Rhinolophus ferrumequinum: one gene and its partners. The main gene of each other region encodes a partner of the protein of the gene in region 2 in a complex. Links are inferred from orthologs where the notes say so. Each region holds a gene or a part of one and is shown on either strand. Other genes may lie near its edges. The genes, in order: ELAVL4, IGF2BP1, YBX1 and HNRNPU.

The links.
Region 1: IGF2BP1 (region 2) and ELAVL4 share a complex: the UniProt entries of both Homo sapiens proteins name them as parts of the TAU mRNP complex. The link is inferred for Rhinolophus ferrumequinum from reciprocal best matches to the Homo sapiens genes IGF2BP1 and ELAVL4.
Region 3: IGF2BP1 (region 2) and YBX1 share a complex: the UniProt entries of both Homo sapiens proteins name them as parts of the coding region determinant (CRD)-mediated complex. The link is inferred for Rhinolophus ferrumequinum from reciprocal best matches to the Homo sapiens genes IGF2BP1 and YBX1.
Region 4: IGF2BP1 (region 2) and HNRNPU share a complex: the UniProt entries of both Homo sapiens proteins name them as parts of the coding region determinant (CRD)-mediated complex. The link is inferred for Rhinolophus ferrumequinum from reciprocal best matches to the Homo sapiens genes IGF2BP1 and HNRNPU.

The regions. Positions count from the first base shown.
Region 1 is NC_046292.1:35,738,543-35,745,603, reverse strand, and holds the start of ELAVL4 (ELAV-like protein 4), read right to left. Parts: upstream 3,004-7,061; 5' UTR 2,975-3,003; coding exon 2,858-2,974; intron 347-2,857; exon of another isoform or gene 62-346; coding exon of another isoform or gene 53-61; intron 1-52. UniProt on the Homo sapiens protein: RNA-binding protein that is involved in the post-transcriptional regulation of mRNAs. Plays a role in the regulation of mRNA stability, alternative splicing and translation.
Region 2 is NC_046304.1:34,183,715-34,191,196, forward strand, and holds the start of IGF2BP1 (insulin-like growth factor 2 mRNA-binding protein 1), read right to left. Parts: upstream 3,009-7,482; 5' UTR 2,693-3,008; coding exon 2,518-2,692; intron 1,313-2,517; coding exon 1,252-1,312; intron 1-1,251. UniProt on the Homo sapiens protein: RNA-binding factor that recruits target transcripts to cytoplasmic protein-RNA complexes (mRNPs). This transcript 'caging' into mRNPs allows mRNA transport and transient storage.
Region 3 is NC_046292.1:30,054,147-30,061,056, reverse strand, and holds the start of YBX1 (Y-box-binding protein 1), read right to left. Parts: upstream 3,016-6,910; 5' UTR 2,873-3,015; coding exon 2,707-2,872; intron 2,025-2,706; coding exon 1,961-2,024; intron 1-1,960. UniProt on the Homo sapiens protein: DNA- and RNA-binding protein involved in various processes, such as translational repression, RNA stabilization, mRNA splicing, DNA repair and transcription regulation.
Region 4 is NC_046310.1:16,462,169-16,469,990, reverse strand, and holds the start of HNRNPU (heterogeneous nuclear ribonucleoprotein U), read right to left. Parts: upstream 3,008-7,822; 5' UTR 2,814-3,007; coding exon 2,180-2,813; intron 1,273-2,179; coding exon 1,161-1,272; intron 1,073-1,160; coding exon 999-1,072; intron 1-998. UniProt on the Homo sapiens protein: DNA- and RNA-binding protein involved in several cellular processes such as nuclear chromatin organization, telomere-length regulation, transcription, mRNA alternative splicing and stability, Xist-mediated transcriptional silencing and mitotic cell progression.

The DNA of each region.
Region 1 (7,061 bases), on a different chromosome or scaffold from region 2:
TTTCTTCCCTCCAGCAACACAAACAACAGATTATAAATCTAGTCATACCTACCATAACCATTCTTATTGGCAAATATTGGGTCTCGCAGAGCTTCGACTCTTCTCTTAAAATTTGCAAGGTTTCGGAATATATATTTTTAAATGAGTACTATTATATATTTTTAAAGATCCACAAAACACAGTGTGGATGGTTGTAAAGTAAATCAACTATTTTGGGGGGATGAGGGGGAGAGAGAAAAAAAAAAAGAAAGAAAAGGAGCACTGAGCTGAAACCCCCGATTCTAGGATGTAGATAAGAACAACTGAACAGAGCCTTGCTGAAATTGGCTCGAAGCTTCCCCTTTTTACATCCATTTATGGGACCATCTGTCAGCCAAAGCCAAGATCTGATTGGCTGGGGAAACGAAGGGAGGCGTTGCAACATCAGGTGCTATTTAAATTAGCTACTGCCAGATTGACGATGTTAATGATTTGGTGACCTCTACAACAACAGAGACCAGATTTCTGAACTGCTTCTTGTGTCTGGTAATTAAGGCCAGGCTGAAGCAACAACAGCCATACTTGTATTTTTACCTCTTCCCTCCTCCCAGCTCAAAAGTACTATAACAACTGCAGGTCACTGGTGGCTTGCAAATCTTAACAGTGGGAGTGTCCTCCGTTTTCCCTGTCCAGAGGGCTGCACCACCCCAGCCCTCTGACAGAGGGCTTTTCCCAACTAGAATATTTTCAACCACCTCATCTTTCTCGATGGTTGCTTTCTAGCGAAATGCATATTTAATGATCTGCCTCTAGGCTTAAAGATACAACAAAAGCACTTTAATGTGCTAATACATCCACATTTTAACTTTATTATTTCCCAATATTGCTGATTTTTAGTAAGTTATGCTCGTCCTGCAGCTAACATGGACAGTGTTTCAAAAGAAAGCAAGTTTGAGATTGTGCTTGCTCCGGGAACTAGGTTCATACAAGTTTGCTTCAGAAAACTATTTCCTAATAAACAAAAAAGAAAAAAGCTGGTGGGGGGAGGAGGAGGGCAGCTGTCAGCCTCTACCTTTCTGTCGTCTGTCTAAGCTTTTCAAAACAGAGAATGATGAATGATTTATTTAAATGAACTTATTTCTCAACTTGGATAGTGGCATGATCTGAATTTTTAAAAATCCACCAAAACACATTCTCTCTTTGCTTTCCCTACTGCTCTAGAGAAAGGTATAACATGCTTTTGACACAGCCTCATTTCATAACCAGTGCAGAGTGCTCATCTTGCTTAACTGAACACGTGATTTTGCTTCTGTCCTTCAAACGATGTCTTTCTTCTTTGGCCTCCTAAAAGACTTGCATGGAGACATTTAGCAAGTGTGTGGTGATGTATACAGTCTGTGTATGCTATACATTTCATAACCTCTACTCTACCAAGTCTTTGATTATACAGTTTTTTGTTCTGGTTTCAGTTTTTTAAGTGGCTTACCTGAGGCGTTTGTGCTTTACTTCTATCCAAAAAGCTAACTTATCACTATTTATATAATTCATAACTTAATCAATTTGTTCCTCAATAAATACACAGAGGTAACAAATATTACTAAAGACATAATTCAACATAATCTTTAATCTTTGGCTGGAGTTGACAGTGAGATGGGACTAAGCAAAGTAGAAATACAGGCCAAAAACCATGCTACACTCTGGGCTTCAAAGTCCAAGAATAAATGGGTCTGTGAAAAATTATTAGAAAAGAAAATAACTTTTGCATTTCTAAAAATTAAAACTATGCTCTACAAGCATGGACACATACATACACATATGTACACACACTTTTTAAAATACAGATACACCACAAAACAATATGTGTGAGGTACACTATATGAACTATTAGATTTGAATACAAATAAACTCAGATATTAGAAACAAAAACACAGGAAATATAAAAGTGGAAATATTAAGACTATATAAATTCCTTTAAGTGGAACAATACTAAATTAAGTAAACTTTTAAAATAATTTCTTTAGTAAATGTATAGAGTCCTGTGAGTCACAACAGTACTATAATATCTATTGAACTGTGTACTAAGGATGAATTCCCAGGTTAAGTGTGCTCAAGAGCTTAACATACGCACACAGGGCAGGTACAGGTGCTCAAAATCAACAACAGAAACTCTGAATGTGATTTCACCAACATCAAAATATTGTGAAAAGTAAACATGAACACAATGCTGACAAACACAAATAAAAACAGCTGGCTTGGATTTTCACTTTGTATTTAATTTGTATTTCTCTGGAGGTTATAAAAGTCACAATTTTTTTAAATTCTTTTCTCCTATCCATACTAACCTCAGCCCACTCGGTAAGACATAAATTAACAGGTATACCAAAAGATACTCTGGCCACTTTTCCAAAATAGGAACTGCATATTACAGTATAAATAATTAGCTGGTTTTGCTAGGCTAAAAAAATCCATGTACTTTGTATATTGATCACTTCTCCCAAAACCTCCACTCTAAAGTCTTTCAACAGAATCCTCAGACAAATGCACAAATGTCCTCAGAGGCCTTTTCTCTAAAGACAAAGGCAGAATCCTATTGTTGGGAAAAGTCAACCTTATTATTGCATTTCCAATAGTACCATTCATCTTTCAGAGTGAGGGGCTGACCGCTACATCAGTGGTGTGACATTTGTAAAGCAACAGATTCTCAATATATTATCTCAAAAATCAGGCAGGCGAGTCTCCCAGTCATGCATGATTTTTTTTTTTCCGCCACAATCCTCTACCACCACAGAAAGAAACTTGTCTCACTCAAGCAGCGAAGGCAACCTAAAAATGATATCCCAGAGCTATGGGGCTGCCAGTGCCGCTGTATCCCTCTTACCATAAATGAGCAGTTTCTTGACTCATTAATAACAATTTCCCTTAAAAGAAGTAATCTCATATCAGTCAGCCCCTCGCCACCATGCACACATCCCAAAGGTTGCAGATATCTCAGCATCAGTCGCCGGCAGCCAGCTTTCCCACACAGAGTCCAGATGGACTGTACCAGAAGCCAATTCAGCGTTAATAACTACCTACTCCACGCAGTGGAGAAGCCTTACAGGGCACAATGGGCTAGGAAACAGCAGCCGGCTGAAACTGCAAATAAAAAAGACAACCAAATTTTCCAAAAGCACCGAAAGGAAGGAACAGAAATGGAAGCGTGAATTGTATTTCCTTGACTTCCATGAGGGAAAAAAAAAAAAAAGGAATAGAAAAAAAGAGAATCCTTCATAAACACGGGGGGAGAAATGAAGCGAAGGAAAAGAAAGGAAAAAAAAAACAAAAACAGATGCTGCCCAGAAAAAAGTGACAAAATATTACCTCATTATTTAACAAAGCAGCATTAAGCGTCCTGCTGATTTCAAACATCTTGCCACAGATTTTGTTTTAAGAGAAACAGATAGAATCCTTTGCAAAGCACTCCGTCTGCAAAGGGTTCTTCAATTTTCTTGCGCGCCACGGAACAGTCAATATATTATTTCCCTAGAGTTTGCACATTAAAACCTCTAGTCAGTGAGCTGAATTTTCCCCTTATCTCACACACAGTAGACTCCTGTTATATGTACTGCTCTCTTTGCAAGAGCAGCCTGCCCCAAACATGGCTGGTGTTTAAACTACTCTTTAAAGTAACAGTTCACTATATAACCACCAGGTGGGTAGAGTGCACAGATTCAAATGAACCATCTTAAAAGACTGATTTTTGTTCCCCCTTGGAATAGCTTTTGGGTATAGGATGTGACATGAGAAACGCCAGCATCCTAACAGGCATCTTGTCATGTCTCTTTCTCTGTATGTTGTCAAAATAAATAAATAAAATTTCTTCTCCTGACTTATAGCAACAAAACAACAAAACAAAATACCATCATCAATTCTATAATAATAATAAGAACTGTGCAGAATGAAACACAAACAAGCTTTGTTTCATTCAGCAAAGGATGAACAAGGAAAAATCCAACCAACACAGAGTAAGGGGGGATACCAAAAACTCCACAGGAATATTTTCCTTTAGCAAAAACAGAGAAATATTGACTCATGTGATAAAAACTCAATTCAAAAATATGCATATGGACGAAGCACATACAAAATGGAGGCAAGAGTGTAACTTTTCTTCTGAGCAAAACATTAAGTTTATTTGATATGGTCTTTCATGATAGGAAATAACCAAACGCTTAAGAGTAAAGACACTGAAAAACAAATACAAAAACAAATCTTAAGCATCTCTTTTAAAAACACAATTATACAAATAGTTATAAACAACCAGAAGAGTAAACTAATCACATATTTCTCCCCAGTGCTGTTCTTTTCCCCCTAGTGCTGATCTGCTTTGAAGTGGAACATTTCTTTCGTATACTATTTTGGATGTATAGCTAACTTGGTGTCTCCTTTGTATTATTCTATTCCAATTAATCTGCTCTTCTGCCAGGAATAAATAGAAGGTCCCAAGCTGAAAGCCCTAAGTGATGGACGGGGATGCTAAAAGATTAAGAACCACCTGAACAAAAATAAATCTCATCACTTATTTTGTTACAAGGCCTGATTTTTAAGGAGAATTTTATTACTCACAGAGCATGCAAGCACCATTCTACGTTTCCTCGTATCTAAAAGAGAAACCAATGCATACAGATACCTGGGATTTTGCTTTCTTGGCTGAACAAAATTAAAGCCCTGGAATTTCCACATCCTCTTGCAAACACGGATGTTGAGATTAGTATTTTTCCAGCCTATCCAAGCAACATTTAGCCACACACAACAGTGACTGTCTCCTTCATCTTTAAGTCAAGGCTGAATCACTTAATACCATTTAACCTCCTCGCATATATTAAGTTTCAAGTGACAGTTTTTAACTGGGGAGTGAGAAGGAGGAGTTGCTCACATCAAATTCTGGTTGTATGCAATAAGCTAATTTGTACACTCACCATATGTCTTAAACACTAATTAAAAAATGTCACTTTCTTCAAACATTAAAATGTAATCAGCCTAGTAAATAAAATATTCTCAAGTTTTCTTGCCTTGGTGATAATTTAAAGAGTGTTTATCTCAAGGTAACCTCTCTGTTTTGATTACCAAGGAAGGTTTTTGATTTGAAAAGGGAGAAAAGGAGATACTGGGGGCTGGGGGTGGGGAGTAAAAAAAGAAAACCACAACTGAACGTAGCTGCATAAAGGAAAATAAGATGAAGCGGGTTTTTAAGGACCCATAGTCTTGCTACCCTAAGGCAAATCCAGCCAATCAATACCACCCATTGACGGTCTACCATCTGCCATGCTACCCAGAGATGTGGCTAAACAGACCTGTTCCATATGACTGTAGCCGGCTCATTTTCAGTCGATTAGGGCAGTTCCAGAGCATTCACATGCAATAGCACAAAACTCCAAGTCAGACTGAGCCTCTCTCTTCACACCAGTTCCTCTAAGCACAGCTGCAGACCTTCTCCTCCTGTTCTGGGTATCTGGATTACCTCTTCTTGCTCCTCAATTGAATTAGCAAAATGGGGTGGGAAGGTAGAGCAAACACACACACACACACACACACACACACACACACACACACACAGATAATTGCTGGTCCTTCTTCAGTGCCATGCACAGATCAGGAATTCCATGTGCTCTGCCCTAATATGATTATGGCACACAATTTAAATACTATGACCTGACATTTTCCTGTGGTTCAATTTCTTTTTATCCTCTCCTCTTCCTTTGAAAGATAAACCTAAACTGCTGGCATTTCTTCCTTTAGGGAAAATACAATCATCATGCCCAGAGAGTGGTATACCATATTTAAGAACTTTGGATAAAATTTAAATCATAATTTCCCTTTGGTGAATTGTGGTGCTGGTTTTGTCTTTTTTGTTTTCCTGTAGAAACATTAAATCAAATTTTATAGGAAAATGCAAACATACCCCAGAGACAAGAAAGATGCACCAGACTGACATGGAGTCTACTCGAAGGATTAGGGATTCACTGCTGAAGCACTCTTAGAGATAGATGACCTGACAGTGTGATGCCTTCCTCTTTCTTAAGTAGTTTTGCCTACTGTGGATTGTGGGAAAGAGCTAGAAGAATGCTACTGTGAGGGGGAAATGTAGACAAATGGCTGTCTAGTCCACTTAAATTGCCAAGAATTCACCTGTGCAGGTTAGCTAACCTAGGAGTCGTTCACACTTGATCTTCTTGCGTTTTTTTTTTTCCATACCACTACGCCTTATGCTAGAACAGCAGCTGAAAGCAGGTTTCTTTCCAGAATCAACATACCTTTGACCACAGTTGTAAAGCAATAGGGTGTCTTCCTGGGAAAGAAAATTTAAAGGATGGAAAAACTGACTTATTGTTAGTAAATTCTGAAAAAGGTAAATGCACACTTACTCAAGAAATCTAATTTCGGTGGAGTCCCTATCTGGACTTTCCCCTGACATAGCCTTCCTCAAAGCCCAAGAAAACTCAGCAGGGTCACTGTGTGACACACAGAGATTTCTGAAGATCCTTGCATGAAGGGATTTGGGGGGTCTTTCACTTCAGATGAGCTTTACTAAAATTTTTTTAAAAGAAAAGAAACAAACAAGGGACCCTAGTATAAATAAATCTTTACCAATCAAAGGTCACTGAGCAGATGAAGTGTGGAGTAGGTACTCATACCATTAAAGGATATAGTGTGAAACCAGCTTAATAATTTTGAAAATAATTTAATATAGAATTAAAAGAAATTCTGGACTCATTTATAATCTGTAACTACGAATAAAGAAATAGATGTATTGTAAAAAGCAAGGAAGGTTATTTGTAGAAGGAGGGAAATGTAAAGGGGAGGCGAGGAGAGGGAGGACAAGAAGAAATAAAGAAATAATAGGACTTACAAAGTGCAAATAAAAGCTGCTATCTTTTACCAGAAGTCTGCTGTATACCAAACACTGCACCAGGCACTTGACATGTACAATTTTATACAACTTCATGGTAGAGACAATTGTTATATCTAAGCATTTTTCTAGAAAGGTATCTTCCTTATCTAAAAGTGAGATCTTTCCCCATCATTTTGTGGAAGAATATTGTGTG
Region 2 (7,482 bases):
TTGATCATCTATAGATACAATAGTTCCAAGTTAAACATCTCAAGCTAAACCACAGAACAAATAGATTTAGATTTTTCCTCCTGTTAAACTTTCTAGATCCTCTTAACTGCCTCCAAAAGGCACAGCCACCCACCTCCACCTTCCCACTCAGAAAAGCCAAGGACTGTTCTGAAATGCAGCAAGTTTCCAGTTGAAATGAGGGGAGTAGGGGAGTGAGAGAATCAAAGATTTACTGGGGGCTGCAACGTGAGAGGAAAGTGCACTGTCAACACATTTAAAGTCAGATTTCAGAAAGCAGAAATACTCTGCCCTTATACTTCCCAGCCAGAGTTCAATGAAAAGATTTGAAATCCACCATGAATTAGATTTGGGGATATGACAGAGGTACCCCACTTTGCTGAAGTGAGGATAGTACTGGCACACGGAGACAGAGAGAGACACACAAACACACACACACACACACACACACACACACACACACACACACACACACACACACACACCCACTCATCTAGGAAGTTCTAGACCCTCCAAAGAGCCCCAGCTCACAGCCTGAACACAAAGCTCTCACCCCAGATGGTCCCCTTGTAACAATGGACTGAAAGGGGGTGGGGGCTCAGAAAGGATAGTACAGCCAAAGCATATTCTTTGCAAAATCCAGTTGGGAGGGGAGGATGTGGGATATGAGGGGCTGGGGGTAGGAGTCTGAAAATACTAGTGTCCTTGCCTGTTGCAGAAATATTATGTAAATAAAACACAAGCATAAGAGAATTCTTTTGGGAGCAGGAACTCATTCTACCTCCCCAAGGGAGTCAAAGGGGACCCCCCACATCCACTTAAAAATTATGATAAGGGAAGGGTGGGAAGAAACAGAAAATCAGAAAATGAGGCCTGCTAGGAAGTTGCAAAAATGTCCATGAGTCTAAACTCTTGGAGACTTTTAGCTTCCCCACAAAAATGGCCCCTCACACTTCAATCAAACTCCACAAGGCTTCTCCCCTATTTTTTCCCAGTTTACTTTTCCAAGTAAGATTTCTTAGCCCACCCCAGGCCCAGCTTATTTTTTTTTACAAGCTGTAAACCACCCATTACAAGATCTTAGCCAATCTTCCCTCCCTGCCCCCAACATCCGGAGTTGGGGGTGGGAAGGCCAGAAATGGGTTTCTTCCACTGGAGACACTATGGACCCCAGGACACAGCCTCTTAGGGCCCCCAGGCTGTCCCCCTCCCCAGAGAAGAGCTCTTTCCTACCTTTGTTTTTTGGGGACGGAGTGTTCAATCTCTAGGCGTTTTCCTTGCAGTTCTACTTTCCCTAAAGATTAAAAAGGGGGGGGGCAATATAAGAGCTTGAACAGGGGTGGGGAGCGGGAAAAGGAAGGAGAAAGACATTAGGGTAATTCAGGAGTTACTGGGATTTGAGACCTTCCTAGGAATCCAGGCAGTGGATTTCGCAGCCGGATGCGAAAAGGTCGCTCTGAGAATGGTGGAGTCTGTAAACTCATTATTGTGTTTTCTTAATTTTTATTTTGTTCTGTTGCCTCACTGGGGCTAATTGGGTCATGGATCGCTCTGGGAGCTGGATTTGGGAGGAGTGTGAGGACGTCTGTGTGGGCGGGTTGCCTACACGGCTCCCAGATGTGGGGAGAAGGGCCGAGAAAGGGCCCCTGTTTCTCCCAAAGTGTGTTGGGTGTGGGGGTACTAAACGAAACTATTTTTCCGTCAAGCCAAAGAAGAGGGCTTCGGGCGACCTGGCGGTCACCTGTCGGGCCGGTCGGGAGGTGAAGCCCTGGGGAGCGAAGCCCGGACCGCTGGGAGGGTCCCTGGCGGCCGCGGCGCGCGCCTCCCCGCCCAGCCTCGCGTCTCGGGAAGCAGCATGGCGACCCGCCGCCGCTGCCACCGCGCCACCCGCTCACGCCCCACTTTCAAATCAAAATGGCTCAACCTACAGGGCCTGGGCGGGAAGCGGGACCCCCTCTCTCAAGTCGGGCCCGAAGGCTGCAGTCCCCACGGAAACCCGGGAGATAGCAAATGAAGTGGGGCCCCCTTCCCTGCCTGGAAAGGCCTAAGGCGAAGGAAGGGTAGCCAGGGGTGCTCATGGGGTGGAGAAGGCGTCCAGGCGCGGATGGCGAGGGGCCGACGTGAAAATAACGCCCAGACGGGGGTCGCCTCAGTGGCGCCCCCCCATTACTGCCACTGGGGCTCCCGCCCCTTCGGGAGGGGTCACGGGACGACCCTACTAAAGCCTCCAGAGACTGGGAGGAAGGGGTGAGGAAACGCCGAATATTTCCACGGCGCGGTAGGGGTGAGGGAGTGGGGGTAGGCATGAAAGAGTGGGGGTAGGGATGGAGAGTGGGGTAGGGTGGGGGCGTCGAAGGAGGTGGGTGATGGGTGGGTCCTGAAGCCAAGCCCCGCAGGCCGGTGGGAGAGCACAGTTGGCGGGCACGGAAAAGAGAAGCGCAGGTCTCCGTTGTTCGGGGATTTCGTCGTGGTTTCTCGGGGAGGTGGGAGCACTCTTACCCGAGAAAGTTTCGATGGCCTTCATCGCCCAGTGCTCGTCGGGGCAGTCCACGAAAGCATAGCCGGATTTGACCAAGAACTGGCCGCTGTAGGAGATCTTGTGCTCCGCAAACACTTTCTCCAAGTCGGCGGGGGTCACGCTCTCGTTTAGGTTGCCGATGTAAAGCTTGTTCATGGTGGCGGGTTCGGGGCGGGACGCGGTCCCTAGCAAGGCCGAGCGAGAGGGCGGGGGCGGGCGCGGGCGGAGAGCCTCCTAGGCCAAGAGGCGGGCGGGCGGCCGGCGGCGACAGCCGCAAACTTTCTTTGCACCCCACCCCTGAAGTTGTCCGGAGCCGGGGGCGCGAAGGGCGGCCAGAGGGCGCGCAGAGGTCGCGGAGGAGTTCGAGAGGCCCGGGAGAAGTGCCCGCGGCGCGCTGGGAGGTGGACGACGCGGCACTGCTTCTTTCCTTCTGTCCGAAACCCCTCTGAGCGGGCTGGTGTGTCACGTTTCTCCGCGGCCGCCCTGGCGCCGCCTCTAAATAAAATCGACTTGAAAAAAAAAAAAAATGGAGCGGAAAAAAAAAAAAAGGCGAAGCCACGTGGTGAAAGCCCCCACCCACCCTGCAGGGGAAGACCCCCGACGCCTCCGGAACCTTAGGCCCTCCAGCCCGGCCCAGCCCACCAATCTCCCGCCGGAGGTGGGGGGCACTCAACTCACCCCCTGAGTCAACTGGGCGGCGGGTGGGGGGCTGCGTTCCCGAAGCTTCACTTGCCCCCTCCCCCTTTGCATGAATCTGGCCCCTAGGGAGGCGCCCCGCCCCCACTCATCCTCATACCCCAGCCCTGGCTGGGGGAGGGTGGTCGGGCCCAGAATCTCCCACCTCTTTATGGATAAAATGTACGGTTATTTTTTTATTCCTGTGGTGGGTGGGGGGGTTTGCCCACCCTACCATGGTTAACTGCTAGCGACTGACAGGCGGGGGACGGCGGAGATAGACAAAGAGAAGCCGAGGACTCTGGGGTCTTCAGGAGGGGGTCGCGCGAACCAGCGATTTAGAAAGAAAGGCGCCTTTTCCTGGATTTTTAAGTGGGGGGGGGGGTCTCGGCCTTCCCTGCCCCAGCCCTGGGAGACTCCCTCGCCTCCGGGAACCCAGGACCGAGGGTCCCTGAAAGCGCGGGACCGGGAGGCTGGGAACACGGGGGATCGCGGTTGGGAACGAGGGATCCACAGGAAATCAGGTTTCGGGATTCCCACGGGCGAAAGAAATTAACACCCAAGGTTCCACTGCTGAACGAAAAGGTTTTGGGGTCCTGGGGGAACCGGTGGCTCCGGCCCAGGAAGACCCCGCGAGAGGGAAGGGTGGAGAGAAGGACAAGGAGTGGTAGCGTGAGCAGACCCGGGCGAACCGAAGGGATAGGTCTCAGCGAGGGAGTGACCGGGTGGAGATCCGAATGGTCCCCTTCTCCCGCCCCGACGCGGGGACGGACAGGTGGAGTCCCCTCCGCCCGCTCCACCCAGGACAGCGACAGCAGCTTTCCCCGCGTTGGGTTGGGGTCTCGGAACTTTGTTTGGGGCGCAGGATCGGAATCCAGGCGGGAAGGCGGGAGAGGAGCCAAGAGCAGGGGGCCGAGCGCTAAGCCCCGCCCCCGTCCCCAGGTCAGACCCGCGGGGGGAGGGGGTAGTTTCCGCTCGGCGCTAGGGAAGCGAGGGGCGGGAGCTTAGAGGAGGGGGCGGTGGTCCGCCCCCCGCCTGTTCCTGGGGAGGGGAAGCGGATCCGCCCAGGTCCCTTCCCTCGCCTTTGACCAACTCGTTCCGGATCCTCCGGCCCGGAGAGCCCGAGGGACGAACCCGACTGGGCAAGGGGCGACACGTGGGCGGTCGCACCCCGTCTCGGCGGTGGGGGAGGGGGCAGTTCGCCGCGCGTTTCGGAGTCCAGGATACGCGGCAGAGAACGGGATCTGCGTTCCACGCGCCACCGGGATCCTGGGCCGGGGGACCAGCCAGGCCGACGAGTTTCCAGCGCCTGGGGCTGGGACGGCGCCAGGGGGTGTCGGAGAGCGCGACCCGGGGACCCTGGAGCCCCTTTGGCCAGGGAACCAGGGAAAGAGGGGGTGGACCCTCAGTATTGCCAGAAGCTCCCTGAACTAGGCGGAAGCTCGGGTTTTCCTCCGGGTTCTGCGGGAGGGAGAAAGCTTTCTGTCGGGGGCACGCGAGCTGCGAGGGCAGGTGAGAAAGGGGGTCACTCTCCCTTTCCCGGTCCCCGACCCCATTGTCTCAGTCGCCTGCGGCCCGAGCCGACTCTGCAACACGTGTTGGCTGCACCGATATGAATGCCTTGGGTTTTTTTCTTATTTGTTTGCAGAGTCAGTGAGTTGACTCCGACTTGGGAGCACCGCTCTTCTGCCAGACGATTCTATACCGTTCGAAAAGTCGGGAGTTAAAAGACGACATGCCGCACCTTTGTCCCCCTCCCGGTTTTCCCCGCGCGCTGCAAAGAAATGGGTTTGGGCGTAGGGGCGGGGGAGGGCTTCCGACTCGGTGTCTCCGTCTCCACCACCTTCAAAACCGACCCTCCAAATCCGCGTTTTGTTCTAGCCAGCCACGTGTTTGTCGCATTTTTGTTTGCGATCTTTTTCTTTCCATGGGGCAACAGAAATTAAAATACTACATGCTATTAGTTGCTAAGAGGAAAAAGTCTATCCAAGAAGGTGGGCGACATCTGTATCCCACCCCCCACTCCGACCCTCCCCTGTTTCTATGAGCTCTTGACCATAAACATAATTTTAAATCCAACGAGCTGGAATCGGTACCTGCCACATAGTAGGCATTCAATAAACATTTTGTAAATGAAAACGAGCTAATACAAACTGCAGAGCAAATTGAATTCAGAGGAAAATTAAGAGTCAAGGGGAAAAAATTATCTTGGCCAGAATGTGTGGGTCTGTTGCCTGGGGACTTTTCTTGGTGTTGTGTGTGGACTTTTGAAAGGGCTAAAAGATAGTCTCAGAAAGGCTGTTGTATTCCTTGGCCTTTCCCTAAATAGGAGCCCCACTCTCCTTCAATCTTTTCTGCTATATTGGGGAACAAGAAAGATTGTACTAGGCAGGGCGTTCCATTCCCAGAAACTTGACGTGCTATTTCCTTCATTTAATTTAAATCTTAAGGAATTAATAGAAGCACCTCTCAGGTTTTCTCCCTGGGGGACATAACCACTACTCTATCTCTTCATTCCTAAAACAAAAACATGTTACACCGCACAAAAATCTACATCCAGACCTCTAAAATGCAGTCCACCTTTGCCTATCTTAGAATCAAAGGGAAACAAAATTTTTTAAAGTAATAATTGAATTCAGTTCACTTTTAGGTTGATTTTTTTTCCATTTAAAAATATGTAAGCCTAAATGTGAACTGGAATTAGTTTATAAAAATGACTGTGGAGAAGAAAATGTAAATGTATAAAATTAAAATTTTACCAACCATTGCTAAATTGAAACTGATGCGTTTTAAAAATCAGCTGTTTCACTGAATTCTAATCCACCCCCCCTCCCCCACCAAGGGCTTCTGTGTATAGTCAGAGGCTGCAAGAACACAAGAGAGAGGAGACAGCTGGGGTGAGATGCAGACCTTTTCAGCCCCCAAATCAGTTTTGTCTCAGTGACCTGGCTATTTTAGGCTGGAGTTGGGGGGACTGAGTGATGGTGATTGGTGCTTCAACTCTCCCTTCTGAGTGAGCCCAGCACTAAAATTAACCTGAGAGAAGGGTTATTTTTCTCAAGACTCACATTCCTAGGTTAGGGATAGGAATGAGCAGACTTAGGACCCCATGATTAATCATCCTTTTTTTTTAATTACGGATAACTAATAAACATTGCATTTGTTTTCAATTTTTTTTTTTCTACACAGCTTCTTTGGGAAAAATTAATCAGTTAAATTTAGTTTGTAAGAGTTAAAAATACAGCTGCAGGATACATTGTTTTCTTTAATAATAATTTATGTAATTAATATTATTATCAATTATTAATTATTATGCTATACTTCTTGTTCTCTTTCATTTTTCCTGGAGACTTGTTTGGTCTAGTTGCAGAATTGAATTTTCCTCTGAATTCAGAAACCCTGAACCTTGACTCCATTTTAAAGATGGGATTCTGATCCATTTTCCTTCAATGTGAATATACAAACACACGCAGAGAGACAAAAACATTTAAGAGAATGAAATAACATTTTTAATTGGAAATATAAAGTGGAAAAAATCAACAATTCCACCAGTCATAAAAATTCACTTTTATTTTTTAAATGTTTCTTTCCAATATTTGTCGATTTGTAATATTTTCTATTTTGTCTACTTATTTTTATATCTTAATTTTTTCCTTGCTGTTGTACCATAAGCATTTTCCCATGCTGCCTCAAAGTTTTCATAACTATCATTTTTAACAAACATGTAGCATTCATTTCAGGAGGTGTAAGTTAATCATTGTTATTTTAAAATATATGTTACATCAAATTTTTTACTTTTCTGAGTGGAACTGAATAGATTTGGGGGGCATATAACTTTTTCCTTTTAGATTAGCTCCTATGGATAAATCCCCAGAATATATATTGCATTTCAAATCTAACATTTATCAATGACTTTCTATTTTAAAAGTTTAGCCTGTTTTACAAAAGAAAGGACACAAAACAATTGGTAAGCAGTTAGAAGGGAAATACATTAAAATTGAATTTTTTCTATTTTTCTAATGAACCATAATTTTTAAATGAAATTATAGTTTCTATAAAATATACAAAAATAAAAATTATCATTTCCTGAGAACTGTTCTGACTTCAAAGTTTTAAGAGGAATTTGTTTTTTGTTTGCTTGGTTTTTATTTTGTTGTTTGCTTGTTTTTTTCATTGTTGTTGCCCTGGGATATTTTGTTTCTTCCTGCAACTTGAAGTTTTAATGTGGTTCTTTTAGATGACTATAAATTTTGAAAAACTGTAAAATAGTC
Region 3 (6,910 bases), on a different chromosome or scaffold from region 2:
GAAAAGCCTTATTTTAATTATAAAAAGCTTAAGAACCTAGAACATATAATCATAGAACCCCAGAGATAAAATTAAAGTCATGGCAATAATCCCAAACACTGCATCTACTCCTTTATAGATAAACAGCACGTGTGTGTCAACCCCGCCCCCAGGTGTCTCCAGCCTTGGCTATATAGTGAACCCTGAACTGCTAACTCCCAGAAGTATAGTTCTTTAAGACATTTAAGGCAAACCTCTCCTGGACGTAACTGCAGTCAGATTTTAGTGTCTTTCTCAAAGTCTCAGAATCATTGGAATGACCTCTTTAGAAACATAAAGCACGTTTGAACCAGTTAATTTGACAAAATAGTTGAGGCCTGGACAGTCCAAACAAAGGATCATAAAAAGCCAATTTACATTTAACTTGTCCTGGAAGATGACCAGTTGAGTTGATTGCAAATCAGAACAGAGATATTCAAGTAATGACATCTCATAAAAATTTAGAGTATGTAAAGAACTACTCTTTCATATTGGGTTATCAATTGTCCGCTTCAAAAATATCACAATCTATGTCCATTTAACAAAATACAGCAAGAGAGAAGGCACATGCTACAATTTTTAAAGCACACACAGACTACCTTCTAACCACTGAAAAGACTGCAAATTACATTCCTTCCTACCCAAGATATCCTATGATTACATTGTGTCAAGGTTAAAAGCAATGTTTTTCAAGGTATGACCCACAAGCCACGACCACCTGAAATTCTTGTTAAAAATGTACCCCAGATCACCCCAATGAATCCAAACCGGGAAGGAAGAGCTGAAGAATTTGCATTTTAACACCCTTCCAAAGTTAAGCACACTTCAATTCAAAACCCACTATTTTAAGGGTTAAGCCAGTAAGATGGAAATACTAACTTAAATGCTAACAAATTCAGAGATCAATCAACTAAAAAGCGCTCAAATACAAGCACCAAAGCATTCCCTTCCTCACTAGTAGTAACCCATCATCACAAAACTGATGGAAAATGTAGCTTTGGCCTGTCAGGAAGGCAGACAGTGTAAGAACAGATGGAAAATTCCTGAAGATTTTGCAAGAAACAAAATGTCCCCCCCCAACTGCAAATACTGTAAAAACAGACCATCAGATGCTTCCAATCTCTTTTGCCCCCGCCCCATACAATAAACGGGTTTTCAAACAAGTCTGTCTCTCTTTAAGCTTGAGCTTGCCCATTTAGTTTCCCTGCAGTAGTGTCCATTTCACATTCGGTATTACTTCTTACTTGGTAAGTGTTCTTTTAAACCTCTAGTTGTTTAATACCTTCTAAAGCAAGCATGTAAGAGAGCGCTGAGATGCCCGTGTCACACCTGTAAGGCCCGTATCACCATCAGCACGCACAGTGCCTCTACACCCATGCCACCGCACTAGCCTTGGCAGCCATCTTGAAAATGATGCCCGCCTCACAGGGAGACCACGGCGAGTCCTGTGCATACACTGCACCTTACCACCACTATTACAAACAACTCCACGCGTTACGCCTAAAAACGCAGTCTGTCACTTTGCCTTCCAATACGAAGAACAATGTCATCACGGATCTATATGCCATCAGTGGGTCACATTTTAAATACCAATTTCAACAACGTGTAAAATGACAAGGATAAAAACGTGGTGGGCACCGAGCCTAACGGCATCACACTAGATCTTAGTTTCCTCAGTCTGCCCCGTTAGGAGACGGCTCGCTTAATCCGCCCGCCTTTTACATTGCTTTGTACCATCACAAGCCTTTTAAGTTAGCTTCACATTAATATTTAGATGCAAAACAAAGATAATCTCTAGATGCACGAATTTCTTCAGTCATCCAGGAAAACAAAAACCCACTACCACACCAGAGGGAGCAACCTACGCATGCTTCAACAATCCCAAATCCGCACAGCCTGCAGCTGCGAGCAGAACGTGCAAGAGGTAGGACGGTCAGCTCACCTGTTGATGAAACCATATCCGTTTCTTACATTGAACCATTTTACTGTTCCCAAAACCTTCGTTGCTGGAAGGAGAAAAAAAAAAACTCACGATTACCAGACATCCTTTTTTAAAACCGCCACGCTTCAGCATCCGGTCCCTCGAGCGTTTCCCCGCGGCCACCTGACAGCCTTTCTCTTCAGAGCCAGCTCGCCCGGCCACGCTCTGGCCCCCACCGCGCCTCCGCGGTCCACGTGGGTGAGCTCAAGGCACCAGGGCCAGGGTCGCAGGCCCAAGCTGGGTGCGCGCGTAGACAGCCGGCGGCGGGCGCGGCTGCCGGGCGGAGAGCACGTGAGGGAAGGGGAAGCAGCCCAGCCCACTCCGGCCTGCGTAGGCGACTCGCCGCGCCCTCAGGGTACACGCGGAAGGGAAAGGGTGGGGGGGACGAAACAACGGCGTGCGGGCCCCGGCGCACGCGGCCAGCGGGGAGGGGAAAGACCCTGCTGCACACGCGGTCAACTACGCGCGGCTGCACGGGGGGAGGGGCGCGCGGCTGCGCGGGGTCTACAGGGGCGCGGGAGCTGGCGCGTGCGCGCCTGCCGGGCACGCGAGCCGGCGTCCGCGAAGGCGCGGGCCTGGGGGAGGGGCAGCCGCGCTGCCGAGTCGGTCCCCGCCGGCCGCGCGCCCGCCGGCTCGCCCCGCTTCGGGTAACGGTTCCACCGCCAGGCTTTCCTACGGCCCAACCCCCGCCCCTTTCCGGCCCTTACCGATGACCTTCTTGTCCCCGCCGGCGGGCGCCGCCGATGTAAGGCCGCCCGGGCCGCCGCTCCCTGCGCCGCTGCCCGTGGTGCCGGGCTTGGTGTCGGCAGCGCTGAGGGCGGGGGCGGCGGGGGGGGCGGCGGGCGGCTGCTGGGTCTCGGCCTCGCTGCTCATGGTTGCGGTGATGGTGACTGGGGCCGGCTGCGGCAGCTGCGGCTCCTCCCGGGGTGTGATGGTAACTAGGCCGGCGGCGGCGGTGGGGCTGCTCAGGGCTCTCTGGGGTCCGCTCTCCGCTCCCGCTACCGATCGAACTAGCGAGAATGGCGGGACGGGCGGGATAAGCCTTGAGATCGACCCGCCCTAAGCATCGTTCACTGGCCAGGAGTGCTGTCAATCTTGCCACCTGACCCCAATTCCTGACTTCTATTGGCTAATACTTTATCACTCCTGCACTTTCATTGGCTCTTAGGCGGCTAATTTGGCCGACCTACAACCGTTCCTGCCTCTGCCGCCGCCGCCATAGAGACCGGAACTAGAATTAGAGTAGAGTCACCACGAGAACCATAGAGTACCGAGGACGGGCAGAGAGAACGTGACTTTCACTAGGCTGCAGCCTGGGCAGGCGGGCCATACATCCAGGATTGTATCCTGGTGGTAGGAAAGGCACGGCCAAACGCTTGAGCCAGGATTACCCGGCCGGAACCGGGGGCTTGAAAGGGGCCCCGTCGACACCTTAGCTCCATGTGGAAAGGCGGCCTCCCTCCCTTCCTGCTCCAAATATGGTCCTTGTGACCTCAGTTACTGTGGATAGAGCCTGCATTCTACAATGGCCGTGCTACTCGTGGCACAGCCGAGTGTTTCTGGACCAGACTTAAACGCATGCATTCAAAGAGTGTCCGTTTTCGGCGGAGCAGTCACCCTCGAGGGACCACGCAGGCTTCTCAGGCTGCCCTGCTCGGCATTTTTAGGGTGGAGGGCGGGGGCGTACTCCATGGGGACCTGTCTTCCCATCCATATTACCAAGCATGTAAGGATTGTCTTGTTAAATATTCAGGTCTTTTTCTATTGGCCACAAATCAGATTTAATCTCAAATCACGTTGATTGAGCAAGCTAGGCATTTTTCTTGCATTTTATTCTTACAACAGTCACATGAAATAAGGATTACTATCCATGTTTCACAACCGATCTATACTTGAGGCTGCCACATGCTGTAGCTGAAGTCCTTCATTCGTTGTTTAGTAAGCATCTACTATCTGCTGGGGATGGACTAGTACATCAGATTCTGCCTTAAATCAGTCTAGGATGAAAACAGAAATTTAAACTCGCAACCCACAGCGTTGCCAAAGCACAAAGCAATTTGGGAGTAAAGGTAGAAGAAGGCGGAGTGCTGACTCCAGGCACGTGGAAGTTTATGCAAGGCCGAGAGGCAAGAAGAGATTGGGTCTGGGGAAATGCAAGTAAAGTAGTCCAATAAGACTAGAATGAAGACATTGTGTTATAGAGGTAGGCTGGGTCAAATTAGGATTTTATTGAAATTATCCTAAGGGCAATAGTGATAAGGGTAATTTAGAGTTGTAAGTAGGGAGTGTCATCATTTTTTTAATGGCTGCTAAGTGGAGAATGGGTTGTAGGGGGGCAAAAATGGAAGTAGTAGGGAAAACAGGCTAGTGCAACAGTCCTTAACCCCCCGCCCCCCCCCCCCCCCCCCCCCCCCCCCCCCCCCCCCCCCGCCCATCATCTAGGCCTGTCATTCCACTTCCAAAAGGCATTCAGTGAATCAGTCCTTAAAACTCTCTAATCCCGTCATTCCTACTGCCCTACACTACTGTAGGCCATTATCAACTATTACTTAGAGCAGAAGCAGGCAAACTTTCTGTAAGGACCAAATAATATGTACTTTAAGCTTTGCAGGCCAGACGATTCTGTCTCAACTAATCAACCTCAGAGCCTGTAAGCAGCCACAATCAGTAAACAGGTTCCCCTGTTCCAAACTTTATGGACACTAAAATTTGAAATTCATATAATTTTTACATGTCATAAAATATTCTTTAGACTGTTTCAACTGTTTAAACATTTAAAAACCATTCTTATTCTTAGCTATATGCCATTGAAAAACAGTGAGAGGGCCTGCCAACTGTAGTTTGCTGAGGCCTGGCTTAGAGCACTCCTAGTTGGTTTCTCTACCGCTTTCTTATTCTAATATTCTCCACCACAACATCCAGAGTGTTCTTTTGAAAACATCTGATCATGACACTGTCTTACCTAAAATCTTTCAGTGACTACCACTACCCTTAGGATTGTCCAAACGCCTTAATGTGGTTTACAGGACTCCGTATGACTTCTCTAAACTTACTCCCCACTTGTCTTTCACTTCTTTGCCCAACCTTCCAGGTGATTTTAGCTGTTGGGCTATCACATACTATTCCCTCTACTGGTAACACTTCCTCTTTCCTTTCTCCTTTGCCTTAAGGCTTAACTCTCTATCCTTTAGGTCTTGCCTCAGATGTTATTAGGTGACAAGACTCTCCTATCCTAACACTGAATTGCATTAATTAAATCTTCCCAGCCAGACTGTGAATTCCTGGAGCACCTAGCATAATACCTGACACACAGTATCTTAATAAATTTGTTAAATGAATGAGATGGTGTAGAAAAGGGATTGGAGAAGGTACAGGCAGCAGAGAGGTCATCTGCGCAACTGTGCCAGTAATCCAGGTGAAAAAGGCTTGCAGCAACAATGTGTATGGAGAGAATTAGGTGGAATCTAGAGCTGCTATTCATCTGTGCCAGCTCCAGATGACTTTTGACTGCTAAGAAGAAACTGCAAAAGGCAGTTCTGCCAACACTGAGGACAGTGTGCCCCTATAGGTTTGCAAGCTTTTTCCCAAAGTGGAGTTAGAAAGACAATGACCGCAGCACCTGAGAATAAGTGAGCAACCTTCCCTATGTATTAATAACTACTTTGAAGAGATGGCTTCTCACGCAGAAATATAAATTCTGTAACATTTGTCTTTATAATGTTACTTAAAAGTATCATTAGTTACTCATCCAATTACTTCACTAAGCTGTCTCCTGCTAAGTGGACATAAAGATGAGCTCTTTCCTACTACTTTCCTTGTAGCCACCTCTCTACCACTACAGAGATGGTACTGAAGCACTGCAGGATAAACGGTTTATGTCAAAATGCATCTCCTGTTCCAAGGTGGGCGCTCTCTGCTCCACAGTTCTGCTAGTCCCCCTGCTACCCTGAGTGCACACTGCCCAGCATGGTGACCACAGTTCAGACAACTCCAGTGCCTATCTTTAAAAGTGATGTGAAAGGCACGGGGGTTCATTTCAAGAATCTCCTTTGCAAAATCACTTTTACCTTTGTCCCCATCTCTGACAGACTGGCCCAGGAACACAGTTCCCTCTTCCTGGAAAGTCCCCCCTCCCTTATCTCCTGGCTAATTCCAGCCAATCTGGCAATATTTACCTCAAATGTTACCTCTTCTCTTAGTCCTGGTCTCGCCACTCTGCTCCCATAGCATCTTGTACATACCATTACCATTCACACAACAAATGTTATTAAGCAGTTACTAGGTACTAGGTGCTTACCTCTTCTAGGTGCTGAGAACACAGTAAAAAAAAAAAAAAAAACAAAAAAAAAACCACAAACGAAAAATGAAAAACAAACCTGCCCAAAATCCCTGTCCTCATTAGGGCTCACATTCTAATACTCATCACGTTGTATTGAAACTGTGCCTATCTCCTGTCACAAGCATGGGCCACATCTGACTTATCTTTGCAGTTCCAGTGTCCAGGACAGAGACTGGCATAGAATGAAGGGTGCCAAGTGTAACTGAATTCAACCGAACGGCCCATCACAAGAAGGTCAACTCAAATCCCAGCTGCTCATCCTCCTTCCTATCTTTAATTCCATCCTGTTTGGTTCCTTGATCAGTTCTCAGTGCGTCCCCTCTGAACCATATTTACTTAGCTACAGAGTTGCAAATATCTATACTATAAGGCTCTTGTACAGCTCACCGTCTTCCTTGTCTCCCAATACACTGAAACGACACTTTTAAGCCAGGTTCTATTTTCATAGAATTCAGCTCTCTGCTATCTCTGCTGCCTGCAGTAGCCTGCTGCTAGTAGTTATGAGTCAAGTGTCCATCAGCCAGGAGAAAGGAGAAATGGGAGGACATAGAAATTGTCTCATGAAAGGAACA
Region 4 (7,822 bases), on a different chromosome or scaffold from region 2:
TTCCATGTGCAGTTTTTTTTATAAAGACTACTCCACTACCTTACTAGGTGTAAAGGGTACTCAGTAAGACATCAAATTTTACACTTACATGCTTACATATCTGAATAAATACAATTTGTATTGAAAACATGAAAACTCTAAGCTTCAACTCCCTAGGATCTACAGGGCAGGTTAACACCTTATTTTTCGAACAATTATTTCTACCTTTTGTTCTGCTTAATCACTGAAAGAATTATACATTCTGATCATATACTAAACCAACAAAATTTCTTTGTGATAAAAAAGAATTCCAAATCTGACAGCCACGGCCCATTTAGAGGTTTGCAATACTTCCTCATACTCAATTGCAACCCAACTGGGTAAAGGAGCAGTATTTACAGCGCTGCCATTGATACCATTCGCTGCTGAAGAAAGCTAGTGGCCCAGTGATAGCCCACTGCTGCTGCCCCAGGTCTTTGGAAGAAATCAACTTATGTTAAAGCAGCAGCTACTGAACTGGAATTGAGAACAAAAGAGCAGTTATTGAGAAAATAATATTACAATCTTTTAGTATAGGGAATATACTTGTGTGCTAATGGGAGAAGTCATTAATAAATATTTAGTCCAAATAGCTCACTTAATATAATTCCACACAAAAAAATGAAATTACTTTATAGAAGCAGCCCATAAGCACAAGTTATAAGTAGTCTTACAAGTTTCCATTAGCTAACTAATCAAAATTGGCATTAATTTTACATTCCTACAAAGGAGAAAGTTCAAGTAATAAAAAAAATACTACAAAATTGCTAGAACCCGTAAAATTATCAATACAATACAACTGCTGCTATACTAAGTATTAAGGTATCGGAATGTCATCATCTTCCTGCCTTTAAAAACCTGTTTCTCCTAAGCTTTCTGCATTAAAGTTCAATGTTACATTCCGTTTTCTAACATGTGGAACCCCAAAATTACAGCATCTGACAATTGAGGGAGGAAAGGGAAGAAGCAGCTTCACTTACAAGTATCAAGACAAACCACTGTGTCATCGAAGTGTTCATCTTCTTCTTCAACAGGTGGCTGAGGAGATTTGGCTCTGAAAGACAATATTGTCTCCTGATACAGCTTTTCCCACCAAAGAGTAAAGAATGAATGACAAGTAAAACTAGGTGAGCGTCCTCTACCTGCTATACTTGTTTTCTTCAATGTACTCAAAATATCCACGGCCATGATCTTCCCGAGGTCGTTTAACACCTCTCTTTTTATCTCCGCCTTTCTGCTCTGTTTTGCCGTCTCCTATAACACACAACACCCCTACTTAGAAGGCCAAGCCGCAAACACAACAGAAAAAAACCCTTTTGTTTTGAGACGCAAAAAAGCTCGACATTTCCTTGTTCCTTTCTGGAAGCGTTTTCAAACAACGGACTCAAATGAGAATTCAAACGATCAGCTTGGAATAGGATTGAAATTAGTGACGCAGTATAAACACCACAAATTTTGCCAGTCTAGTGGAAAATTCGAGAAACCTAATGAAAAATAGCGCCGCACAGGCCGAGCCCACGTGCATCCCGAAGAGAGTTCAGGAAGGCGGGAGGGGCAGAGCCGAGCCCGCGCGCCCTCCCCTCCCCTCCCCCACCCCACCCGGGCCCGCGCTCCCCGCGGCCGCATTGTACAGATCTTCCGCCCCGCTCTCCCCACCCGGCCCCTCCCGTCGGAAGTGACGTCACGCGAGCCCCTGCGCTCCTTGCACAATACCGCGGCCCAGAGCCGCCAAAGCGCGCCCGCCCCGGGCCCTTGGGCCTCTCCCCTCCCCCCGAGACATGTGCCCGCACCGCGCGCACGCTGCGCGGCGGCGCCACCGTGGGCCGACGGGGCTCCCCCCGCCGCCCGCGGCTCCTCCCCCTCCAGCGGCAGCTGCAGCTCCCCTGGCTCTCGAGCCACATAATGGAGGCGCTGCCACCACCGTCACACACACCGAGCCCGAGGCCTCACGGCTAATCCGGGATTCCCCGCGCCCCTCCTCCACCGCCACCCGCGCCGCGGCCCCCGCCCGGGGCTCCCTCCCCCCACGGGGCCCCGGCAGGCCTAAAGCAAGGTCCACACCCGCGCGGGCCTCCTGCCGCGCGCAACGTTACCACGCAGCCCTCACCCGCTGCCGGAGCCCCGGGGCGGCCGCCGCCTCGGCCGCCTTCCGCTTTCTTACCTCCCGCCTGCTGCTGGCCCTGCCTGGCCCCGGGCGGCGCCACCGTCACGGCGAACAGCGAGGTGGGGCCGCTGCTCTTCCCCGCGGCCTCCTTGGCGGCCCCGCGCTGCTGTTGGGGCTGTTGCTGCGGCGTCGCCGGCGGTTGAGACTGCTGCTCCCCGTGCCCGTTCTCGTCGCCCGCGCCTTCCTCCTCGTCTCCGAGCTCATCCTCCCCTTCCTGGAAACCCTGGTCGTCGCCGTTCTCGTCCTCCGAGGCGGCCTCCTCCTCCTCCATCGGGCCCGAGTCGGCCGCCCCCGCGGCCCCATTCTCCTCCCCTAGCTCCATCTGGTTGCCATCCAGGGCGGCGATCCCTTCCTCCTCCTCTTCCTCCTCCTCCTCCTCTTCGTCGCCGCCAGTCGCGGCCTCCTGCTCGAGGCCTGCTCCCGAGCGTCCGGCGGAATCCCCGCCCAGGTCTAGGCTGCCGTTCCCGGGCTCCATGGCGGGGCGGCCCCCGGCCTCCTCGTCGTCCAGCGCGGCCTGGAGTCGCTCCATGAGCTCGGCCTTGAGGCCCTTGTCGGAAAGGCGCCGCTTCTTGAGCTCCTCTTTCAGCTCCGACACCTTCAGCTTTTTTACATTAACAGGCGAGGAACTCATGGTGAGGGCCCCGATTCACCGCTAGGCGCTGGCTCGAACTCGGCTCCGCTCACTCGGCCACTGGTGGCGGCTGCTGCGGCTGCTCCTCGGCCCGGGCGGCGGCTGCGGCTGGAGGTGGGTTCGTGCTGCAGAGCGGACCCGCCTGGTGTCGAACGGCGCCAATTCCTTTCACCGAGTTCGCGAGGGAGACGCGGAGACTCGCCTGGCGTGAGCGAGCACGCAACGTCCTCTCGCAGGGGCGGCGCCGCGCACGTATTATAGCCGCCCCGCCCCCTGCGCTGACGGGAGTGCTGCGCAGGAGGGAAGCCAGAGCGCGCCCGCGCCGGGGCCCGCCCATTACCGTACTTACCTCCCCGCCCCCACGCCGAACTCTGGGCAGAGAGCGCGGCCCGGGCCGCGCAGTGCGCTTCCAATTGGGACTGAGCAAATGGAGGGAAAGGAAACCGCCTTTCAGTTAAACCGACCCACTGCAACAACTATTGGCCTTTCTAGTTCTTTGGTGGCAGTACTCGTTTTGCTCTTTGCCTTTCCAGCCCTGAGGCTGCTTTTATCCAAATGCTTTCAGTCCTCAACCTGGCGGTTTCAATTCGAATCCTCCACCATTTCTTCCATCTTAGATTTTCCTTATCCAGCTATTGGTTTCAATTTTTCAGTTTTGATTTGTACGACACAAATTGGCAATTACTACACGCAGGGGTTTTTCTTCCGCGTAATATTTCGTTTAATTTTTCTAAGTCCTGCCTGTGAATTGGATTTTAAATTCGGGAGGGGCGAGGGCAAAGCCTTTCTTTTGTCTCGTCCACAACCCCTACTGCACGGCTTGGGAGATGGAGGCTTGCCTTAAGAGCGTGATCCCTGCTCCATACCGCAAAGCGTACTTGAGGGGCCTTGTCTTGGCAGCTGTTCTCGTAGTATTAATAGCCAAAGAAATGAAGCCTCAGAATTGCATTTCTGGGTGTTCTCTACCTACCTACCAAAAAAAACCAAAAACGTAAAACATTCTGTCCCACTTAGGACCTGGTCGTCCAGGTGTAAAGTCCCAGCTAAATCCTACACTTTGATTCTATTCATACTTCTGTAGAAATACTCTTGACCAAATCCTGCTGAAACTAATAAAAACGTGTGAAAAATAAAGGGCTGTGATTTTGTAAAAAGAAAAAGAGACTTGTCACCCTCAAAATCTGTTATTTTGGTGTCTTTCAGAAGTAATTTTTTCTTTACTAAATAAAAGATGTGTTATGTTCTTGAGGTTTTAGATAGGGGGGCCAGAATTTAGATTTGTGGTGGAGGTAAACATCTTAAACCTCAGAGAATCTGCACAGGGACCAGCCAGTGTTCCACTATCTCTGACTAAGGAGGTCTGTTACACCCACTATTTGATGCTTTAGCTGGCACAATAATGCGGCCCCAATATTAATTTGAAATTTGGAAAAATATACATGTAAACTTTCCCATAGGTAGTATGTTTTAGATTAATTTTATTGTTTTTTTTAAGTTTCTTTTCGATAGCCTTTAACAAACATGTTATTTTTCCAGGCAGTAGTATATAAAGATGAAATATTAACATTTGTAAAGTGATTTGAGTTGAAATTAATGGACCATGTACAGTACTGGTAATTCTTAATTCAGCTTACTGGAGGTAGAAGGGATAGCACCTAAAATAGGAACTTCCAAATAGTGCCAAAAACTCCTGTTAGCCTTTGGTTACAATGTCCTTGGAGCTTGTAAACAAGTCACAAGCTGGAATTTTAACTTTTCAAATTCTTTGCCCGTGTTCAAAAACGGGAAGAGAGCCACAGGAGGCTTACATGTTCACAAACTGAATAATTAGTCTCTTAATGAATCAGAGTTAAATATAGTTAGCATGACGGTCCTTTAAGTTTGTAAGTGTCCTTAGATATTTACATTTTTAAACTATGAAAATAAAGTTCACATATCTAAATATCTTTATAATAATCATTGTTGGTAGGTTAAATCAGTTAATAATAAACATGAAATATAACTGTAGATGGACAGGAGATAGTTCCATGGCTTTAACTCCAAGAGCTTTGCAGACTTTTTGAGCTCGATGTAGCCTGGAGAACATCTTCAGTGGGCTCAGTTTACAGCCCAGGTTGCAGAGGCTCTCCCTCTCACCCCAGTGCTCCTTCCTTACAACTGGACCTTCTTAAACAACATTGGAAAGAAAAACAGTTTTTGTAAAACTGTCGAGCCATCACCTTACATTGTCCTTTCTACAAAGGGGTAGAATCTACTTTACAATTTGAAAGTACATATAATGATAATTTTACTAATTGTTTTTGCTTCTCTCTCTCTCTTTTTTTTAACTTTTATTTATTTTAAGTGTGTTTCCCACCCCCAGACCCATCAGCTCCAAGTCAAGTAGTTGTTTCAATCTAGTTGTGAAGGGCACAGCTCACAGTGGCACATGTGGATCGAACCAGCAGCTTTGTTGTTAGGAGCTCTGCACTCTAACCAACTGAACTAAGGGGCAGCCCCTGTTTTTTCTACTTAGAGTTTAATGCTATCATGATTGTCCTGTTCTATAGAGACCAGTCAAAGTATAGATCACTTCCTCTAAATTGCTGAGGGACCTATAAGGAACTTAAAATTCCCCCTTTTTGAAATCCTAGAGACTACCAAGAATATAGAGTGGAAGAGGGGACACATTAATTCTCAGTAGCAAAAAGGGATTAGACAATTACCCATGGGTACTAGATCTATGAGAGAGCATTACAAAGTTAGGGTACTCAGAACACATAGTTTACACTTTGAGGCTGAAGCAAAGGTGTGTACATACGTGCTACAGTTCACTCAGCAAATACATTTTTGATCATCTTCTCTAAGACCTATAGAGGTCTAGGCACTGGTATCCTAGAACTACAGCGGTGAACTACATAATTATGCCTTCACTCTCTTAGGGAGAGTAGTCAACAAATATAAAATAGGAATGGTAACAATTACTACAGGGAAATAAAAAACAGGAGAGGGACGAGGTGTACCGAGGTGGGGGGTGAGTTTTTCAGCTATAAATAAGGTGGTCAAGGAAGCCTAAGAAATATGGTAACATTTGAGCAAACATCTAGAAGAGGTGGAGGGAACAGTAAATACAGAGGCCTGAGAGGAAAGATAGGAAGTGAGATCAGAGAGTTAAGAGAGAAGAGAGGAGGTAGAGATAGCAAGCAACCTTGCAGGTGGTTTTGTAAGGACTTTAGCTTTGCCTCCAAGAGAGGAAAGACATTAAAGGCTGATTCATAGTGAAGTGACATAAACTGATATGAGTGCTAAATTCAGTGGACTCAAGATGCTATTCCATTTAACTTATTTTTTTTTTCTTTTTGGTCTAACACAATGAAGCTCAATTTAAGTTAATGAACGAAGCAAGAAATACGGTGAGATAAATTTCCAATCTTCTTACAAAGATGTAAGAAAGTATAGGTACCTCCAAATTATAATGTGTTAAAAGTACATTTTCAAATAGAGAAATAGGAAAGCCCAGTTGAAAGGGAGGATGTACCAAGTTCTCGTTAAAAGTGCAAACTTAGAAACAGACAGACCTGGATTGCAGTGCCATCCAGAGCACCTAGGAGCTGGTCCCATCTAGTAGCTAGTATGTGATCTTGCACAAGCTATGTATCTCTCTATGCCTGAGTTTACTCATATATACCTGCCTCATGAGGTTGCTGGGAAAATTCAGCCAGGTGATGAACATAAACTCAGGGTACAGTGCTGGGCACACAGTAAGAGCTCAAAAAATACTAGTCTTCATTAGATACACCAAGCAATTTAATGAACTTAAGAAAATCTGTGATTGGATTGTTAATATCTTATTTAGGGAATTATGACTATACATATTTTGTAAATTATCATGAATTGTTCATTGTAAGATGTCAGTCTAGAAAAAAGTGAAATGAAGTCTGTCCACACAGGAGAGTGCAGACTTCTCAGCTCAGCACTGTCACTGTAACCAGCTGTGTGACCTTTGGCAAATTGCGTGATCTCTCTGGAAATTAGTGTCCTTGTGTATGTACGAAGCAGAGCAGACTAGATTTGTAGAGTCCCTCCAGAGAGAACCTTCGATGAGTTTCTTCTTTGCTGACTCCAGGCTGGAAATGGGGGAGCACTGTTAAACTTTGAAATCATTGTTATTTACATTCAGGTTTTACTTGTTATGTTTAAAACTTTGCATTAGAGTCTCAAAACATTTTAAAATTAAGTAGTAGACATGAACGTTGAACCATTGTACTATAGTTTTTGAATTTAAAATGGTACAAAATATTCCCATTTACATGAGACTTGAGTACCACGACAGGCTAAAAGTTTCAAAGTAAATGCTTCCTATTTGAATCATCTTGTCTGTGATGTCATGAATCTCTGTCTTCACATAACTTCTGTGGAATAAAACACGCTCATTAGAAAGTTGCAGGAAAACTATAATCGTGGTTAAAGTAATATGTCAGGGCTTTTCTGAATATTTACTAAATATTCAGTAAATATTTACTAAACTAAAATATTTACCAGGTAAAGACTGATAACATTTACCAAAACTTATCTTACACAAAGGTAAGTGGAGTGCTAAGGAGTTTATTATTATTAAGTACATTATCACACACATTACTCGTGCCTGGCCGGTATCACAGTACCTGATAGAAAAGGATGAAGAAAATATTCAGACCATCCTGAATTACACAGCCAAGAACGAGATGAAAGACTAGAGTGATTATTACCTCATAAGCTCTCACCTTCTATGTGCACCCTTGGAGCTGGTCTGTTCCTTGAGCTCAGGGAGCAAGATGGACATGACTTTTCCAGCACCCGGTGCAGTGTCTTACATCAATAGTCACAGAGAGCCCAGCAGTGTGTGGGGAACGAGATGGAAGCTCGGTAACGAAATATACCCTCTAAAAACGTGAGAACTGTACCACAACCCTGATGCACACTGAATAATTTATTTTAAGAGAGAGCTCTCCAAAAATTAAGTAGAGACTGTGATGATGCATTTGATTCAG